Zea mays: one gene and its partners. The protein of the gene in region 1 binds, or shares a complex with, the protein of each later gene. Links are inferred from orthologs where the notes say so. Each region holds a gene or a part of one and is shown on either strand. Other genes may lie near its edges.

The links.
Region 2: Mediator of RNA polymerase II transcription subunit 13-like (region 1) and mediator of RNA polymerase II transcription subunit 25 share a complex: the UniProt entries of both Arabidopsis thaliana proteins name them as parts of the mediator complex. The link is inferred for Zea mays from reciprocal best matches to the Arabidopsis thaliana genes GCT and PFT1.
Region 3: Mediator of RNA polymerase II transcription subunit 13-like (region 1) and uncharacterized protein LOC100216950 share a complex: the UniProt entries of both Arabidopsis thaliana proteins name them as parts of the mediator complex. The link is inferred for Zea mays from reciprocal best matches to the Arabidopsis thaliana genes GCT and SFR6.

Annotation. Positions count from the first base shown.
Region 1 is NC_050104.1:30,388,274-30,394,970, forward strand, and holds part of Mediator of RNA polymerase II transcription subunit 13-like, read left to right. Parts: intron 1-214; coding exon 215-446; intron 447-1,505; coding exon 1,506-1,712; intron 1,713-2,426; coding exon 2,427-3,298; coding exon of another isoform or gene 3,299-3,370; coding exon 3,371-3,737; intron 3,738-4,471; coding exon 4,472-4,724; intron 4,725-4,837; coding exon 4,838-4,922; intron 4,923-5,012; coding exon 5,013-5,100; intron 5,101-5,363; coding exon 5,364-5,442; intron 5,443-5,838; coding exon 5,839-6,137; intron 6,138-6,152; exon of another isoform or gene 6,153-6,285; coding exon 6,286-6,697. UniProt on the Arabidopsis thaliana protein: Component of the Mediator complex, a coactivator involved in the regulated transcription of nearly all RNA polymerase II-dependent genes.
Region 2 is NC_050097.1:178,587,903-178,593,271, forward strand, and holds the end of mediator of RNA polymerase II transcription subunit 25, read right to left. Parts: intron 5,333-5,369; coding exon 5,279-5,332; intron 4,829-5,278; coding exon 4,800-4,828; intron 4,548-4,799; coding exon 4,479-4,547; intron 4,389-4,478; coding exon 4,304-4,388; intron 3,636-4,303; coding exon 3,549-3,635; intron 3,476-3,548; coding exon 2,816-3,475; 3' UTR 2,496-2,815; downstream 1-2,495. UniProt on the Arabidopsis thaliana protein: Component of the Mediator complex, a coactivator involved in the regulated transcription of nearly all RNA polymerase II-dependent genes.
Region 3 is NC_050096.1:232,622,183-232,629,494, forward strand, and holds uncharacterized protein LOC100216950, read right to left. Parts: upstream 4,384-7,312; coding exon 4,348-4,383; intron 3,991-4,347; coding exon 3,816-3,990; intron 3,659-3,815; coding exon 3,135-3,658; intron 2,623-3,134; coding exon 2,446-2,622; intron 2,099-2,445; coding exon 1,718-2,098; intron 1,582-1,717; coding exon 1,441-1,581; 3' UTR 989-1,440; downstream 1-988. UniProt on the Arabidopsis thaliana protein: Component of the Mediator complex, a coactivator involved in the regulated transcription of nearly all RNA polymerase II-dependent genes.

The DNA of each region.
Region 1 (6,697 bases):
TTGCTGATGGACCATGGTTCATACACACTAAAATTCCTGCAAAAAGAAAAACGAATTTATTTGTACCATGTAAAATTTAATAGTGTTCGGTCATACCCAAGAAATATTAGTAAACTGTTCTATATGAGGTTTCCATTTTGTATTATATGTGCTGGTTATTAACCTCTGTCATGTCCATAGTTTCCCTACTCTAATTGGTGTCCTCTGCTAACAGCTCTTTCCTTGGATCTTCTTGTGGGCTTGGAGTCAATTCTAACTATCTGAGACTAAGAAGGAAAAAAAACAAGTGCAACAGCATGGCCAGCAGTGTTAGTAGTGTGAGTAGCACTTCTGATGGAAGTCAGCGTGCAGTTGCTACTGAAGGTGATATTGTAGCTGATGCTGACTCAATGTCCTGTCGTCAGTCTGATATGCCATCCAACAATGATACTCTCGGTAGTAAGATGGTACTGTAATCTATTCCTTTACTCACATATTTCAGTATACTGAGTTGACCTTTTTCCTGTATTTAAAACACAAAATGGTATTCTTTTCTCTCAACAAGTTATTGATATTTATGATATACTTTTGATATATGGGAGATTATCCATGTGATTACCAACCATCTCGAATGAGATACAAATGCAAAAGGGAGGACAGACTGGCTTAATATACCATCAGCTTTCTCTTCTTGTAAATGCATAACGCTTGAAGCAATCAATAATTAAGTTAAGTATGACATAAGTGACTATATTCTTATTTTTATTTGTGGAGAACAATTTATACCTTTGAGACATTTTAGTCATCCTCAAAGAGATACAGAAATGTGAAAAAGTATGTTGACCTACTCCCTCCATTCCAAACTGTAAGCAGTTCTAGCTTTTCTAGATACATAATTTTTGCTATGCACCTAGATACACATTAAAAACTATGTATCTAGAAAAGTCAGAACAACTTACAATCTGGAAAAAATGTACTTAATTATTCATAATTTTGATTCAAAAATACATGATACTTTTAAGTACTATGTGATGGTTGTAGTTAAAAACGAGACACAAAGCTGGCTAGTAATAGATAAATCATAAATGGAGATACACGGATGCACATGTTTCACTTCTCACATAGATTTATTTTGAGAAAGAGTCATGACCACCTTGGTTGGTGATGGTGTACACACAGATTCTGACTGAACTAGGCTAGATTCCTGCACGTTAATAATTTGTGTGACTAAACTGTGCGCAAATATAAATCTGCTTTACCTCTGCTTAGATAACGCGGTGGCCCTTGACCATGTCTTTGTTCCTTCAATGCTAAAACCATCAGAGTTGTCTGTAATTTCTTGCCTTTATGGAGCTCATGTGCCAGATTTCTGTTTGTGTGATTCAGTCACATCTACACGTTGCACTTTTGAGACTGTTGAGATGTTAACCATTTCTTTTTTAGGAACCGGCCTTATAAGCAATATTGTGATACTCTTTACATGAATGTAGGGGTGTCAGTATAATCATGATGCTTTGTGTAATTAGGTATCCAAGCGGCCTCGTTCTGAATTAACAGAAGTCTCTTCTCATACTGGCAAAGATGTTTGTGAAAACATACAAGACCCGAATGGTCAGGTTGGACACTCTTGGGGCTGGGACGATGAGGGTGTCGTTATGGACATCAATATACTTCTGTCAGAGTTTGGAGATTTTAGTGACTTCTTTCAACAAGAGGAGTTAGATTTTGGTGAGGTAGGTATTCTATATACTTGTAGTATTTTATTTACCTTCGGAGCCATTACTATAACATTCAAACAGTGACTCAATCAAGTCTGAGGCACTCTTTGATAGTGCTGAGCTCAACTTAAATGGCTATGAGCCTATGATAGAAATATGACATTTAAAATCCAGTACATTTTAATTCTGACATGTATATGTCATCAGCCGCAATCTGCTAACTGGAATAAACTATATTGACTCTTTGAGTTGCATTTAATATTGCTGCATTGCTACACTAATGTTACAAGAGAAATTTACTACTGGTTCCTTGTCTCTATTTTAACCAACTACGTCACTACTGTTTTTTATAGTGTTTAAGTTATAACCAATGACCTCTGTTAGAGCTCATAATTTAAACTCATTGATTGAAAAACATTTAATTGTGGTGTCACTAAAGGTGAAAGAAATTTCTTATAGCGTGCATTCTCATCCCCTATTTAACTTTTACTTTAACTAGTTGTGAAATGACTATTGAATTATCTGCTCCTTGGATTTATTTGAAGATTTACCATGCTACTTTTGATGATGGGGAAACTGTCATCATATAAGTTTTATTTAAGGAGTTAGCATGCTACCTTTGATGATGGGGAAATACATCCCTCTATGATTACATGGCTGTTTAGAGTGGCATCTTTGTGATTTACCTGTAGTATTAATTCATGTAACTGAAAATTCCATTTCATATAGCCTCCAGGTACTGCTGAATCACATGCTCTAGTAATTCCTGCTTCAGACTGTGGAGATGTCACATTCACAGATAGTCCATCAACAGCAATGGATATCCCTGAACAAAGACTTTCTCCTGTTGGTTTCACAACTTTGGATGCATTTGACCATCAAATTATGGCCCCAGCTCAAGATGTTGTTGCTAAAGTTCAAGAACCTCATAATGATACTGCAACACCTGCACAGTCCCACTCGCAAGTTTTATCATCTGGAAGATTTGATTATCTTACCAAAGCTGAAGCAAAGCTCACATTTGCTCCAGAATATGCAGCTGTTGAAATTTTGATTGCTGAGGCCCCAACACCATTGTTTACAAATCCATACTTTCCTAGATCAAAGAAACCAGGCAGTTCTAGTTTTAGTGCAAGAGTTTATTCATATGATGTTGCACAAAGCTCTCAAATTGAATCCACAGGAGACAAGCCAGATAAGACTTCTAAACTAATATCTGGTAATCATTTACATGATATTAGTTCATCAAACTTGTACACACTTGTCCAAGGTGGGAATAAAGGGAGTGATAAGATCTTAAAGAGTACTGATACACAGCCCTCTAAGGGAGAATTGTCACCACCTATTTCTGGTGTGACTTCATTTAATTTTTCTCTTGTTTCACAAAAGAAGAGTGGCAACATGTTCAATGCTGGCTATTTTCTGCTGTCTATGAAGACTGCTTTGGCAACTGAAATTGAATGCATCACGTTCCAGGCTGCCATGTGCAGAATTAGGCATACACTATTGTCTCTGAGAAGCAAAGCATCTGCCGAGTTTAACAGTGCAACATCCAGCTTCATACAGACAAATGTCAGCAACAAATCAGATCTCACCCCCAGGTATGACATGAGAAAAAAAGAAATTATGACTGTAAGGTTATCTAGTGATATTGATCATGAAATGTTTGACAGATCCTTAATGGACAATGTGGGAGTTTGGAGGCCTGTTGTTACACCTAAAGGGCCTAAATCTCTTGAGTCTTTGTCTGCTAACACATTAACTGGTGCAAGCCCAAGTCTGTCTATACAAAGACAACCTGTTGTAGATCTTCTCTGTGCCATGACTCTGCTTGTTCAACAATCTACTTCGTTTGTTGATATGTCACTTGATATGGATGACGGGGACGGTTCTTTTTTCTGGCTTTCCCTGGATGAGCAAAAGAGACGTGGATTTTCTTGTGATCCTTCTATGGTTCATGCTGGCTGTGGTGGCCTATTAGGAACATGCCATTCAAAGGATTGCGCTGGTGTTGATTTAGTCGATCCACTTTCTGCAGAGGTAAAATCTTAGGCTGGATGTGCTTGCTTCATTTTTTTTATTTTTTATTACCACTGGTACTTGCGAAAGGGCTGAGTTGGTTAGGTGGTGTGACTAGCACTCTTCAGATTCTAAGTTTGGCTCTTCTAGGAGCGAATTTCAGGCTAGGTCTAAAAAAGGGAACATATCTAATGCAATCATACATATTGGTGCAACCATGCAACCAAGACACAAACATGGGGTGCTGCAGGAGGCAGAGGGCTCCTTGTGTTGTCTGTTTTGGCGCAGGCTGATGTTGTTTAGTTCCTAGGGGGGTTGCTGGGGTTTTCCCCACCCCCCTAGTTCTTTGTATCTTTTCTTCTTCTCTTATTAATATAACACGCAATCCTCTTGCGAGTTCGAGAAAAAAAGAAGGCCTTCCCACTTCCATGTTTGTGTCTTGGTTGTATGGTTGCGCCAATTTGTATGGTTGCACTAAATATGTACCCGTTTAAAAAATCCCTTCGGCTGCCCCACATCAAAGCACATGTCTAAGGCCTGACCCTGGTCATGGGTGTTCTTACATGGGCTACAGTGTATGAGTGGGGCAAAGGTTCGGGGGATTTTCTTGACCTGCGTGAGAAGGTCTTCTCTATATATGATGCCCGGGGGCTGTCCTACCCCCACAGGTCAAGTTTTTTTTTATTATCACTGGTACTTGTGTGGTACATTGTTTCTCCATATTCCAGTATTCATGTTCAGTCCCCTTTGTACAGGTTTCAGAGCCATCCATGATTAGCTTGTTGCAGTCAGATATAAGAGTAGCTCTTAAAGCTGCCTTTGCAAACATGGATGGCCCGTTATCAGTAATTGATTGGTGCAGGGGTCGAGGCAATGCTGCTGAGTCTGCAGGTACGGGAGATGCATACTCTTTTCAGTACTCCAGTGGTGATATCCTGGAGCCGTCAAGTTCGTTGTCCATTGGTGGAGATTCAATGAGCCCACCCCAGCCAACCAGTAGCAATCGAGGTATACCTGCTGTGACCTGCACTCTGAACTTGATAATTCTGCTGCAAAAATAATATTGCCAAAGGGAGGAAGAGACGATGATTGTATCACAGGAGATTTGCGTGTCACTGCAGGCATTTCAGAATTAGAGTTCCAAAAGGGATATCACCGTGTCAGACCAACCATTGCTGTCCTCCCTTCACCTTCTATGCTAGTCGGGTAATGTATCTTTTATTTTCCATGAATTGTTTTATCCTGCTTAAGCATATGTATTTGCATGAGTTACTGATGCAAGCATTAAAACTGCAGTTACCAGGATGATTGGTTGAAGGCCTCGGTGAATAGTCTTAAAACATGGGAGAAAGCTCCTTTTGAACCTTATGCCTTGCCGAAGCCTGTAAGATTAGTTTGGCAGTGTTCTGTCACTACCTTCTTTTGCTCCTTTCCTTTCATGCTGCTTCTGGGGAATTCCTCCTCTCCAAACAGGGTCTAACTACTTGAAACTATCTTTTTAGCACTGCTTTTAGCCGGGTTCGTGAATATTTTTTTGTAACAGCAAAGCCACCATAGCGCAAATGCCGCAGCAGCACCCCCCCTCCGACATATACAGTTAGTGACTATATATTCGTTTCATTGATTTTGTCATCTGTTCTCTTTTAGGTTACTTACTATGCACTTTGCCCTGATATTGATATGTTGACTTCGGCGGTAGCTGATTTTTTCATGCAGCTTGGAACAGGCAAGTGATGTTTTTCTTGCTTCGTATTTTCTTTAGTTATTTCTCATGAATAATATTGCTGATATAATCTATTCCCCGCGTTGAGTCTATCCCTAAATAATTGCCAATTTATAGTACATGCAGCTGAACGTAAGTACATAAGCTTATATGCTTTTAATATGGCTCATAACACTATATTTTAAACATAAACCAGATGTCACCATAAACATGATTCACGTATCCCCCCCTTTTTTTTACAACAGTACAGAACGATTGATGTAGGCAAGAAATACTTTTGCCACTCCAGCAGATTTATGTACTTCAGCATGTTCTTAATCTCCAAACCTTTGTTCCAGTTCATTATGATGCAAAGTGTTTTTAATAGCATTTGTCATCATTAATTTTGTGTTCCTGTAGTTTATGAAGTTTGCAAACTGGGAACTCATTCGCCCCAAAACAATGGAGGACAAATGGAACTATCTCCTGGAAAATATTTGCCTTCAGGACTTGTTCTAGTTGATTGTCCTGAGCAGTTGAAGAAGGTTCGCTGTGGCCACTTAGGTCCCATCAGTTCAACAAGTGACTGTCTTCAAGCTTTTTCAAAACATTGGAGCGTGAAAAGTTTTGTAACATCTATTTCAAGGATACTTAAGGATATAAAGCTGACTTCAAACATATCTACAAATCAGAAAGAGAGCAGTAGTGGACCTTGCACAGTAAGATCTTTTTCCTTTTTGTTCCTTTGCCGTTGATCTGATTCATGTAACTTAACATTTAATATTCACAGTAGTGGATATAAATGATATTCACAACATGGTAAATTATTCACCCTATTTTAACACCACTAGCCCTTTATCCATGCAGGTAATTTATGTAGTTTGCCCATTTCCAGAACCTTGTGCAATTCTACAGACGCTAGTAGAATGTTCTGTTGCTCTTGGGTATGTTATTTCATCCCCGGAAAGGGAAAGAAAGTTACTATATTCACAGGTTGCCAAAGCCCTAAACAGCAGTGCTTCTGTAGATGAAGCATCAGCATCAAATGTCGTTATGCTATCCGGGTTCAGTATACCCAAGCTCGTCTTGCAGATTGTTACTATTGAAACTGTACTGAGAATGGATAAGCCAAACAAGGAGCTTGCTGTTTTGAAGGACATAGCATTCACAGTGTACAACAAGGCACGACGAATCCCACGGGCTGTCTCCACAAGCGATATGTTCCAGTCACCAACTTATTTGGGTAGATCTCAGTCCACAATGATGCATGTTACATCTC
Region 2 (5,369 bases), on another chromosome or scaffold:
AGGCATCCAAAGGAAATAGGCAAGTCTCACCCGCGAAATGCATTCCTATCACTTTTCGATACGAAAGATCCAATATGGGCGATCACTATAATTGGGTTTGTTTGAGGCAGAGCTATTAGTAACTTTTCTACCCTTTGCAAAAGGAAGGTTCCTTCACTAGGCCAGGTTACGGTATGCACCGAAAGTACGAATAATTAGACCTGCTGCCATTCTTAAAACGCACCCGTGTCACTACAGTTCAAAACTGCAACAAAACAGATGCATAATGAGACCGAGGAACCCATACCATTATCGATGGGAGGCCCACAAAAGCTATGATTAGGAATCCGGGAGTGGTTTAAGCTCGTCAAAGAAAAGGAGTTGTTAGCGATTCTCGTCAAGGAAGTGTTCCCTCGACTCGACCCTCCTCGTTCGGTAGAGTACACATATTAACTCGAAATGCAGCAGAAGACACCTATTTAATCGATTAATATCCAAACGATCCTATGGAAAGCAGATTCGGATTTCCTAGACCCACACAGAAAACAGCCCATATTTCAACCAGAAATGAACGAATAAAGGCAACTCCAGGAAAAACCTGGTACCCGTTACTTCGACCAGATCCCAATGGATCCGTACAGGGTGATTTGAACTGCTCCTCTCGAGAAGATCGATGGAGCTAACTTGTGAGACGGAGCTCACTTCTGAGATAGAGTTGTCTTCTTTCTCTGCGGCAGGGTAGTGCACCCACCCATCTCTTCCTCTATCCAAATGATCCACCTGATTGGTCCTTTCGGGCATACAGAGTCAGTCTCATCCAGAGCATCACGAGCTTCACCACTACAACCATCTGACATTCATGCACGAATCCATCCCTCGCACTTTGTTTCGCTAGCTGCCCTACCTCGCTCGTAATGGTGCCAGTGCCGGCTCGATGGTGGACTCGGGAATGGTCAATCCAGATGTAGAGAGCTCCGTAAAAGGAAACCTATTTTCATCAAAGACAACATGTCTGGAAATCCAAATTCTGTTAGTTGGTATATGAAGGCAGTGGTAACCTTTCTGTTGTGGTGCATAACCAAGAAAAATACACGGCATCGAACGAGGCTGAAGCTTGTGATCAATGTAAGGTCTGAGGTGAGGCTGTCTGAGAATACGAAGATTCGGGTCTTTATGAAACAATTGTGTGAAGGGAGAGAGAGAAGAAGAAGAGGCGCGGAGCGATTGATGAGATAGACCACACTTGCAAATATTTCATCCCAAAAGGAACCGGGATAGAAGCGTGTTGCATAACAGCAAGGCCGCTAAGGTAATGTGTCTATGTTTGCGCTTGGCCACTCCGTTTTGCTGAGGAGTGTACGGACAACTGGTTTTATGAATGAGTTGTGGGAAAAGGCGAGAGAGAGGCCGGGCGCGAAGCGTGAATGGAACCATGAGACAAGGCCGCGGGAGAAGAGCCAATGTGGGATATTTTCGTACCAGTACCATCTCCACTCCACTCCAATGGTGAGAGTATCTGAACCAGCATAAGCAAAATAAGAGGACAGGTGCGAAGCAAGTCACCGGTGACATGATGAGAAGCTCCTGAGTCTAAGAGCCACTCAGTCGACTGAGGTAGAGAAGGCACTGATGAAATCTGAGACGGCACTGGTTGCGCAACTAAGGCGTGAGCGAGGGTCTCTTTGTGGTGGTCTTTCACCATCTTCCTTTTGATTGGCCTATATCTTAGAATCCGGTCTTTCGCTGTTCCCACAGTCCCTTAGTCACGTACCGGCTGTCGGTCTATCTCATATTCGCAGAAGAAGGAACTTGTCATTACTGTGTCAACATTAGTGGGTCTGGCGCTCGGTTTCCCTCTCTGAAACCTCTCTAGTGACCGTCGGTCTCTGTCTTCAATGGCCCAACGACCCTAACCCTTGAACAGGATCGATCTAACGCTCCTGTAAGCATGAACAGTGTAGCATATGGTCTTATGCCCTTGTCGATGTTTTTCCTCCTGTGCCAGCTAGGGTTAGTTATAGTCCAATATATGCTCAAAGTGTTCTCTTAGTTTTTTATGATCTTTGTGTTCAATTCGGATGCATCTACATATTCTTATAAAAGGTCTTCAACACGTTTTTCAATGTCTTGCTTGAGGTTTTGATCATTTATACCACCAATTTATCTTCATTCAAATACACTTTGCATCCTTTAAACTATATCTATAAATACTAATAAATAATGTTACTTAAAATACTAGCAAGCAATATTAGTTCAAATGATTATGTTAATCATCAAATACTAAAATTTATGCATCAGTCTATTTTACTTACATTCCTATTGCAACAAACAATTTTGCTAATATTGACTAAACGACGAATTAAATGATTGTTTAGCTTATTTAATCATGCTAATATTGAATAAAGTATGAATTAAATGGTTGTTTAGCTTATTTAATCATGTTTAGCTCGATTCAATGTAAATCGTTTAGACAGTTTAAACTGCTTAAATGATTCAACTACCTATTTAACGTACCATTTAAACCCTAAACAACACAGGTCACTTATTTTACTGTAGTTTAAATAATAATTCTGTTATACCTAATAGTTTACGGCTAGTACAACAATGCCATAAAGTCACTCAAGATTACGAGTACACCACCATATCATAAAGTATGCACCTATGCATGGACATCTGGCATTTACCTATCGGTGACAGGGATGCTTAAGTTTTCAGATTAAGTTTTAGCAACACTCCCCGAGTGACTATTCCCTAACCCTGTCAAATGAAGTTGACATCTCAACACTTGGGTCAGTGTAAACCCTCAATTCATCTGATGCCTGCTGATAAAAGGTGCTTAAGGTAGGAAGCCTCCCCCAGGCATGCTGCCCGGCCCCTGTGGCGTAATCTTCCCTTGCATCATCTGCACTGCCCGATTGTGCCCCTGCATGAACTGCTGCCCCATTCCTGTACCCACCATCTGGGGTTGCTGCTGCTGTTGAGGCTGCATCTGTTGCTGCTGCTGCTGCATTTGCTGCATCTGTTGCTGTTGAGGCTGCATCTGTTGCTGCTGCTGCTGCATTTGCTGCATCTGTTGCTGTTGAGGCTGCATCTGTTGCTGCTGCTGCTGCTGCATTTGCTGCATCTGTTGCTGCTGAGGCTGTATCTGTTGTTGTTGTTGTTGTTGTTGCTGCTGCTGCTGCTGCATTTGCTGCATCTGTTGCTGTTGATGCTGCATCTGTTGCTGTTGATGCTGCATTTGCTGCTGCATTGGCTGCATCTGCTGCTGCATCGATTGCATCTGCTGCTGCATCTGCGAAGGTTGCTGCTGCTGCATCGGTTGCATCTGCGGCTGCTGTTGCTGGAGTTGCATCTGTGATTGCTGAAGTGGGAGGCCTTGCGGCTGCATATGCATGTGTTGTTGCAGCTGCTGCTGCTGCTGTTGAAATTGCTGTAGCTGCTGTTGCTGCATTGGTGTCTGCTGAGTTGAGGCCTGCGGTTTGAACACCACCATGTCCTGGGAAAAGGTCATTTAGTAAATGCAGATAATTATGCAGAACATTAATTAATTTAACTACAATCAAGATTACCCCAGGGAAGAGCATGCCAATCAAACGACCTGCTTTGTCAGCCATCGACAGCAACAGAGTTTGCGATGGTAACTGTATCACAGCACACTGAAACCAGGACCAATTGGATATTAGAACTGTATAAAGTAACTGACAGAAAACTAAGTGTATGAAACGACAGTAGATGAACCGCAGCAAAATAACAAAATTACTGGTTAGTTGTCCGTGCGTTGCTACGGTTTTTATATATCATAAAGATAAATCTTATTTAAATAAGATATTTATTCAAACACGGTCTAAACCGGATGTGTGGTGAGATGAGATGAAGTTTTTTCTCTCGCTTTTTTCCACGCTCACGAGATCAGAGATAGTGAGAAAGAAGGTATTGTACTATAGATAGCCAAATAGGTCGTGTCTAGCAGACTGACCCAAGGCACGGCCCATTTAACAGTACCGCGGCCCGACCTGAGAACCATGTCGTGCCTGAGCCACCGTCTCAGTCTATAGTGCCGGCCCGGTCCGACGTGGCATGATTATATTTTTTTAAATTTAAATGTATTAGTATGTATATATATTTACAATATTTATCCTCTGTGTAACACAATATTTAGAATATCTATAGAAGAGGGCCACGGTTCGAGCGCTAGTATGCTCTCTTTTTTCTTATTTTTTTTCCCGTGGGAGAGCGCTGCGCCGCGCTGAGGGAGACCCAATGCACAACGATTTTCCCACTTAAATACAGTAGAGACTAAAAAGAAATAGACTCAGGCACTGACCAGCTTCTTCTCTTGTAGTTGTACAAGAAACCCATGGTGATTTAAAGTCCGAAAAACTAGAAAGTCTGCCTTGCCAACATATTGTCTGCAGAATAACCAAGTAAATATGTCATTCACAGCACATTTACAAGAAAATGATGCAACAAGTTGGCATTGAAAAGAATGAGTAACAAACTTGTTGTTCATATGCTCCTGGGCTATGAGGCGAACAATCTGCATTGTTTCTGGCCAGTCCGCTGCAAGTCTGCATGCAGAAAGTACGGCTTTCAGTTTCCTACTAAGTCTAGATGCATAATTCGAAAGTACCACAAAAAGGTTCCATTGTTAAACATACCCAATGAAAATTTCTAGTATCATTTCTTTCAAGACAAGGACAACGACAACATAACATCAACTAACAAGAAATACTTACCTCAATCATAGTAATCAACAGAAAACACTGTATAACAGAGATTCAAGAAAATGTAAGGTTTATTGCAAAAAATCAGACACTTACGTTTCAGACGCTGTTCCACTCCTATAACCCTGTCAGACATTGTTAAAGTGAGAAATGTCAAAACAAAAAAGCGAAAGAGCTGCACAAGTAAGACTCCAGCTTTGAAGGTGATAACAAACTATGGCTCAAAATGGGCATCCGCAGCAATTGATACAGTCCATTTCTAAAGGGGTTAAATTCTCTCTACCTGAAGTTTAAAAAAACACGATTACAACTTCAGAAGTTTATTCAAAACTAGTTTATTTCCAGTCTTAGCAAAAAGATGGGTCAAAGATATCACAAAACTTAGTTGAACGAGCATAGAAGTGTTGTTCATACAGATCTACAAAGAGCATAGAAGTGTCATCATATCTCAGGAACTCAGGAACCATTATTTCTGCTAAGTAATGCTGCAGAACAAAAAACTACTAGAAACTTTTATAATTTCTTACAATATACTATATTTTTTTGGAGACCAATAATGCAAAACAAAGACTTACTTCGAGTTTACAAATTATTACAGGCTGTCCTTGCCTTTGGCCAGATAAAGTTCCCTGAAATACAGATAAATGGCAAACATCATGTCAGGGT
Region 3 (7,312 bases), on another chromosome or scaffold:
GCTAGGGGCGGTGACAATAGAGAGGAAGAGGTGGCGTTGTTGGCCCTAGGGAGGAGACGACTAGGGGTGGTGACGACTGCATAGAGGGCAGTCGATAAGCGAAAGCGCAAAAAGAGGATCTAGGCTCTAATTGACATGTTAGATGATGGTAGGAATAGGATTAATTGATTTAGAGAAAATACAAGTACATATATATATAAGGGAGGAGGTGAGGTAAAAGAAAACCTCCTAAGGGCTTTGTTCAATTAAGGCTTGTTTGAGAGATAAAATACCGGAGGAGATTAAAAGGGCTAAATTCCCTTTCTTATTTAATTTTAAATAAGAAGAACATTTTAGTCACTTCAATCCCTCCGATTTTGTGACTGCCAGCCACAGAACCGGAGGGGATTTGAGGGGCTAAAATCCTCTCCTTATTCAATTTTGTAGAGGTAGCGATAATAGAACCTAGCTACTTCATTTTTTGAGAAGTCAAATAATTTAAGCCATGTTTATTTCAATTGAAAGCTTTTAGACCTTAAATTAGAACCTTTTAAAAGCCAAGAAAAACATCTGAGCCAAAATCCCACTTTGAGGAGCTTGGAGCCTTTTTGATTTTGAATGGTCCCACAAAACTAAGGTCCAAAAACTACACGTGGAAACAAAGAGCTTTAAAATTCAATTAAAATTATAAAGATATGCTAACATTTGTAATATAAAATAAGTATATTTAGATTAATCACAAATATAATTTATAATAAACTTATTTGAAGACATAACTGTTAATAGTATTTGTCATAGATCAAAGTTAAACTTGTTTAACTGGTATAAATTTTATAATTACATTTTTTAGGACGGAGAAAGTACATTACTCAAGAAACTGCAACAATACAGCAAACAGACAAGCACGCCGACGTCTCATTTCGAAATGAAACATAAACAGAGTGCCAAGAGGCAATACTTTCTTTTTTTCTGGAACGTGTCCCAAGGAACAATACTTGATCTCTTTTTTAATGGAACACGATCCCAAGAAGTAATACTTGATCTTTTGTTTTTTTTTCTGGAACACGCTGGAAGCTGTGTATCATTGTCTTAAAAAGAAAAAGGAGTAGAACCTTACCAACACACACCATGCGCTACTAAACCTTTGACAAAACATGAAAAGTACGTCCAGCGCTGAACAAGTAACGATGCTACACCTTTTTAGCAAGGAAAGTCACTGGTTAATAATACACTAGACAGCATAATGCAAATGTCAGTTACATATTCAGACCCCCAGAATAGCTCCTAATTCTACCAGACTTCCACAGTGGTCGTGCCACGTGCATGTGCCTGTAGACCAACCATCTGGCATGAACGGCTGAACCTGATCCTAGTAGCCTAGCGTTAGATGCATAACTATGGAACTCCATACATGTTTGTCAGGAAAGCAATTAGCAGCGAAGTTGTTGCCAAATACAGCGCTCAAACAACTTTCACCCATGAACCCCCACACATTGGGCAAGCATGGCTCCACCGACTGATCCACCAAGCCTCACGTTCATTTGTCTGATTTGGGGCACCAGGATGCGCAAATGCACAAGTTTGCCGCAAACAACGTATGCACTAGAAAGAAGAAACAACAAATTTAGGCATCGAAGTATATTAGGGGAGTAACCAGGATTCTCTAATAAAGAACTCGTCAAGGAACTATGAACCCAGACTTGACAGCAAAAGGTAAAGCGACCATAACCATACTCACCTTGTACCAATCACCATCGAGACCTGTTCTCCACACAGCCGTGACAACATCTCTTCGAGATCCCATGACACCTAGATAACCTCCAAGACCTACAGATGTTTTCAGACCAAATGCAGCATCTCTTTCAGATAACCTACGCTTTCTTGGCCAAAGATCAATCCCAATGGAACTGACAGCATCCACTTCCATGTCAGACAAATGAGAGTTGATGGAACCACTAATTTTTAGACGAGGCATATTGTCCAATGGACCAAAATCATCTGGTTCTGACCAGGGTCCACCAAACATGTTGCGTCTATGCCATTCTTCCGCAGGAGGTTGCAGTTCTAATTCTCGAAGTAGAAGTCCAGCAGCATCAGCTCCTCGTGGACGAGGCATATTCTACAGAGTTACAGACATAGGAAACAATGAAATATTGAAAATAGATGGGGAAGTAGGCATCGAGGGATCACTCAAAATGCCATGTCTAAGGCCCTGGCAGTAATAGTGCATGTTTCTATAAAAAATGGCTAATACAAAAAAGATAACTTCTGCTAAGAGAATCCTAATCAACATTTAAAGGTGGTCGTCCTGAATTCAGTTCGAAACAGGAAGACTTGCAATATCTCTGAGTCGTGCACTTGAAAATCAACTTCTACTCCTATAATTGATAGATGTTGGTAGCTCAAAATGGCCACAAATAGTACGAAAGCGACCATTAGAAACTTCCATGAGAATTTGACTAGTACCTGCATATGGGGACCAAGAGACGCTTCCACTACCTCAGGGAGCACTGTGTAGTTGCCGTCAATGTAGTGCAGCCTTATGATAATGCTACTGGAACCAACCTGAGAGGCAGGCAATGGATGCGGCAAGGTAGATGTCCTTCGACATAGGTCAACCAGTATAAGAAAAAGGACCTTGACCTACCAACAATGAAATAAAATTACAGAGATAATTAGATAAACTAGACAAAAAGAAATCTTCCAAAGAATAGAAAGACAGATCTGTAAAGCATCTGATAAATCACTCAATAGAGATCATGAACGACATATGCAATCAAACTGTTGTTCATGCTAGGCTGGACAAAATTTTAAACTGCTTAAATCAAGGGTCCAAAATAACCTACATACGCAATTGCACTCTATGATGGCTATATCGACATGTGTTCTCCCATAGCAACCAAAGCTAGACATTTCCAAAGAAATGCAGGAGCCAAAACATAGTTGTTTCCAAACTAATCACTATGTTCAGGACTTCAGGTCACCAGTTTTCCAGCGCATTTGGCACATCGTCAGCTTCTTCACACTAACTCCCAAAGTTCAAATGCCAACGATCAGTCCCAGTTTGGTAGCACTAACTCCCAAAGTTTCCTTAGTATAACTCAATATTAAACTCTGTAAAAAATACTATATCTTGTCAAGAATTTGATAATCACCTCATCTGAAGTATAACCTTGCCCAGCGTTGCCAGAACCTATTCTAACAGATTTGCCAATTGGATTTTCTTCAGGACCCTTTGCACCACCAAGAACAAATTGTCCACCACGCGCAGAGTGACCTTCTTCTACTTTGGCAGCCCCTAGACCAGATCTTACTGTCGAACTGTTATCTTCTGTCTTAGCATTCATCATGTGTTGTATTTTCTGCATGGCAGAATCTTGATTTTTTTGCGAACTGGCAAGTAACCTTGGTGATTGCCTTCTTCGGAAAAGCAGACAAAATAGCAGTAATTGACATAATCTATGAAGAAAATGGCAATCCCCAATAAGTCTCACAGCAGGTGTGCCAGGGAAAGTGCCCGTATTAATGCTGATGGGCATAAATGATGTCCTCGTGCTCATTGGATTCTGTGTTGCAGTGGCAGCACCATCAGAATTGTTACTAATCTTAGCAATTGCACCTTGGACCCACTCCTGCATTTGTGAGTTCCCTGTTGCAGATGTTGATCCCCCTTGATTACCTGAAATTTGAAGGAGCATCAAGATGCTAGCAGCACTAAATAAACAACACTTTAAGCCTCAAATTTGCAATGAAGAAAACATAAGGTTTGGATGTACTTTTTTGCGCACAAACAAGAGAAAAACACAAGATTTAGCAAGCTAGCAGGCATAGCTAACCTTGATTATTTGATGGCGAAGGAGAACTGTTTGTTGGACTTGTAACCATATTTCTAGAAGTGCCTGTGGTAGAAGATGGCCCCACATGGCTCGCCAGAGTTCGACAGAAACTCGCATAACGCCGCAAGCGAGTTATGAAATGTGATGCTAAATCAAGAACAGCATCAACGTAACCCTGCATTTGAATGCAAATAAAATAAGCTATTTCCTAGTAACATAAAGAATCCCTATGCAGATAACCTGTGCTGAAATTTATACAATACTCAACATTAAAAGGCTGTAATACACCAGTTTTGGCAAAGGATAACAGACATTGCACATGAGTTCACCAACATAACTAAAGTACCGTTTACATGGAAGTGATCTAGCATACCAATATACTGCTCACTACTTTATAAAATGAAAAAAAACGGCTCAGTAGCAAGTCTTAAAAGAATAAAGTCAGTAAAAAGAAAGAAAGAATGTTAGATAGCTGAATTTAAGTTCCATGGCTATGAAATAGAAACAACTTGCATAAAGGAGACAGCTTGACCTGGATGTTTGGAAGCAGAGCTGGCTCAACAGTCATTTTGTCAGCATCGATGCTGGATAACATATCACTGGAAGCTTGCCAGGGCTCAGGTAGCAGAGTTGATGGATTTGTAAGGGCAGACTCGATTCCTTTGCCTAGCATATCCAGAAGTAATCTTGCTTGCATGTCCAACACAAGTGCCCGTACATCTTGGGCATTTGTTCCTTCCAACAACCTACACTTAATCCTATCAAGGTTCTGCATGTACAATTGTACATTCATTAATCATAAAAGGAAGAAAGGTAGTAAATCAAACATTGAAGCCAAAAAGGTATAAAATATGAAATATCACCCAAAATTCCAACTGTCATATTAACTCATCACAACCCAAAATATCATATGAATCAGCTGTCCAGCCAGTCAATTAATTTAGAGACACCTGCTGAGATGCCAATGATTTTCAACCCAAAGGCAAACAGCCACTGGAAAAGTTTCTAGCATCATTTTGCGGTTAAAATAAAAAAATGCCACTGTTGTAAATGCCCATTAAAATGTACAATTTACACATACTTGTGGCCAGGGGCGGCCCCGGTCCAATAATACTTATATCATATCATAATTTTAGTCCATAAAATCCAACAAAAATAGGTAACAGCCTTCCATCTAACCGTGGCATCTAGCACCCGCACCCGATCTCGTCCACGCAGCCATGTCGCCACAGCACACCAGCACCAAACAGTAGTGCCGCACACACGCGCGCCTGGCCCCCATCCGTGCCATAACACTGCAGTAGTGCCAGTGCCGCATCACAAAGCCTGACGGGCAGCGCACTGTGCACCCACGCCGCCACGCAGGACACGGCCACGGACCAGCGTGCATGGCCGACACACCTGCAGCAGCTAGCAGCGTGTAGGCGCCCAGCAGCCAGCACAAGGTGCAGGCCAGCGCAAGGCGCACGCTGCAGCCAGCACAAGATTTTGAAACGTTTTTAAGGCATAAGAACTCGAAAGATAAATTTACGTTGCAACCGTAATTCATGAGGCTATGGCCAGCAGATCGTGCATATGACCGTGTAAAACATTGTTTTACACTGTAGAATGCACTATTTATAGAGTGGGGTTTGAAATATGAGATGAGGATGAGTAAGCTGATGGAGATATCTTGAGCGGTATATATTGAGTATTGTATTTATAGATTTCGTACCTACTTATTTTGTCTACATGTGTCTTGAAGATTTGAATTATACTTGTTACTTTGTTATATTAAACATTGATATATCATTTAGTTCAGCCTAAAAAAACTAACCTTCTTTTAGCAGCCCCTCCTTTGATCCATTCCTGGATCCACCACTGCCTGTGGCAGCAGAACATTAACAGTTCTATATTTGAAGAAAACAGTATATTGATCTGTGTTATGCTATAATTCACTTTAAAATCCAAAGCTATGCCAGTAGATAGACATGAATGTATATTTGGTTATAGCAATATCAAAATGAACCATATTCACTGAAAGCGTATGAACACCATCCACACTGTAGTCTAATACCAGTGGGACAAAAATATGGTTTTGCAAGCTTATTAGTTACAGATAATAGTGATGCATACAAATATAATAATATTTTTTTGCTATAAAAAGACTCATACAGTGGGTACAGATCTTTTAATAGTTGTTAAATATAAATATTATAATAAGATTTATGACCACTCTCATAAGTAGGAAATAGTGAGAGAGAAAAAAGAAATAGCAGGGCATGGAACAATGCACTCTAATGTGTTCTGCTAGTTGATATGGAAACAAGCAAAATAGAAACTGGTCCATGTGCATGAAAGAAAGAAGCCAAGGAAACAGTATGTATACCAACATCTACATAAATTTCTCATTCGAACTCAACTGTCTGACTTATAGTACTCAGATAAGAACAATAATAGTTTCAACGGAGCTATGATGGGTAGGTTTAGAATATTAATTGAGGATATGGCCCTAAAAGAAATACCCTTACATGGCAGACAGTACACATGGTCCAACCAACAAGATGTGCCTGTTCTAGTCAAGCTCGATCGAGTGTTTTGCTCAGTGGATTGGGAATTGCTCTTCCCCAATGTCCTTCAGAGTACCGATTCACATGATTCAGATCATTGTCCTCTAATCCTGGGGCTTAGTGACAATAAATCCGGAAGAAGGCGTTTCCACTTTGAATCCTTTTGGACCAAGATCGAGGGTTTTCAGGATACTGTTATTGTTGCATGGAATTCTTTTGAGCTGAATTCCATGTCCTTTTAAATCTCTGGATTTGAAGCTGCAAAACAGCCAAAAGATTGCAGGCCTGGAGCGAAAAGCAGGCTGGGCATGTGAGATCCCAACTAGCACTTGCCAAAGAAATCTTACACATGCTGGAAATAGCCTAGGATGGAAGAGTGCTCAGCCCTGCTGAGCTATGGCTCAAATTCAGACTCAAAAAACAAGCGTTATTGTTATCCTCTTTCAAGCGTACTATGGCAAGGTTGAGAGCAAGAATTTCATGGCTCAAAGATGGGGATGCAAATACAAAATTGCTTCATCTTCATGCCCATCACCGTAAGAGGAAAAACTGTGGCAAGGTTGGTTGATGCCTTGATGGGGATCAAATCCTAACCGGCCATGGGGAGAAAGCTGATTGTGTGGACCAATTCAACACCAATCTGCTGGGGATCAATAAGGATAGGGTAAGGGTGATTGAGCTGGATGCTCTTGGGATGCCTAGTTATGACCTGGCTGATTTGGAAGCCGCCTTTTCTGAGCAAGAAGTCTGGGATGTAATCAAATGCCTTCCTTCAGATAAGGCACAGTCCCTGATGGCTTCACAGGAAGGTTCTACAAGGTTTGCTGGGCAATTATTAAACCTGATATTATGGCTGCCATCTCTGCTGTTTGGGGCAGAAACTTTGTCCATTTTGGGCGCCTCAACACATATTATATCACCTTGATCCCCAAAAAAGATAGAGTTGAT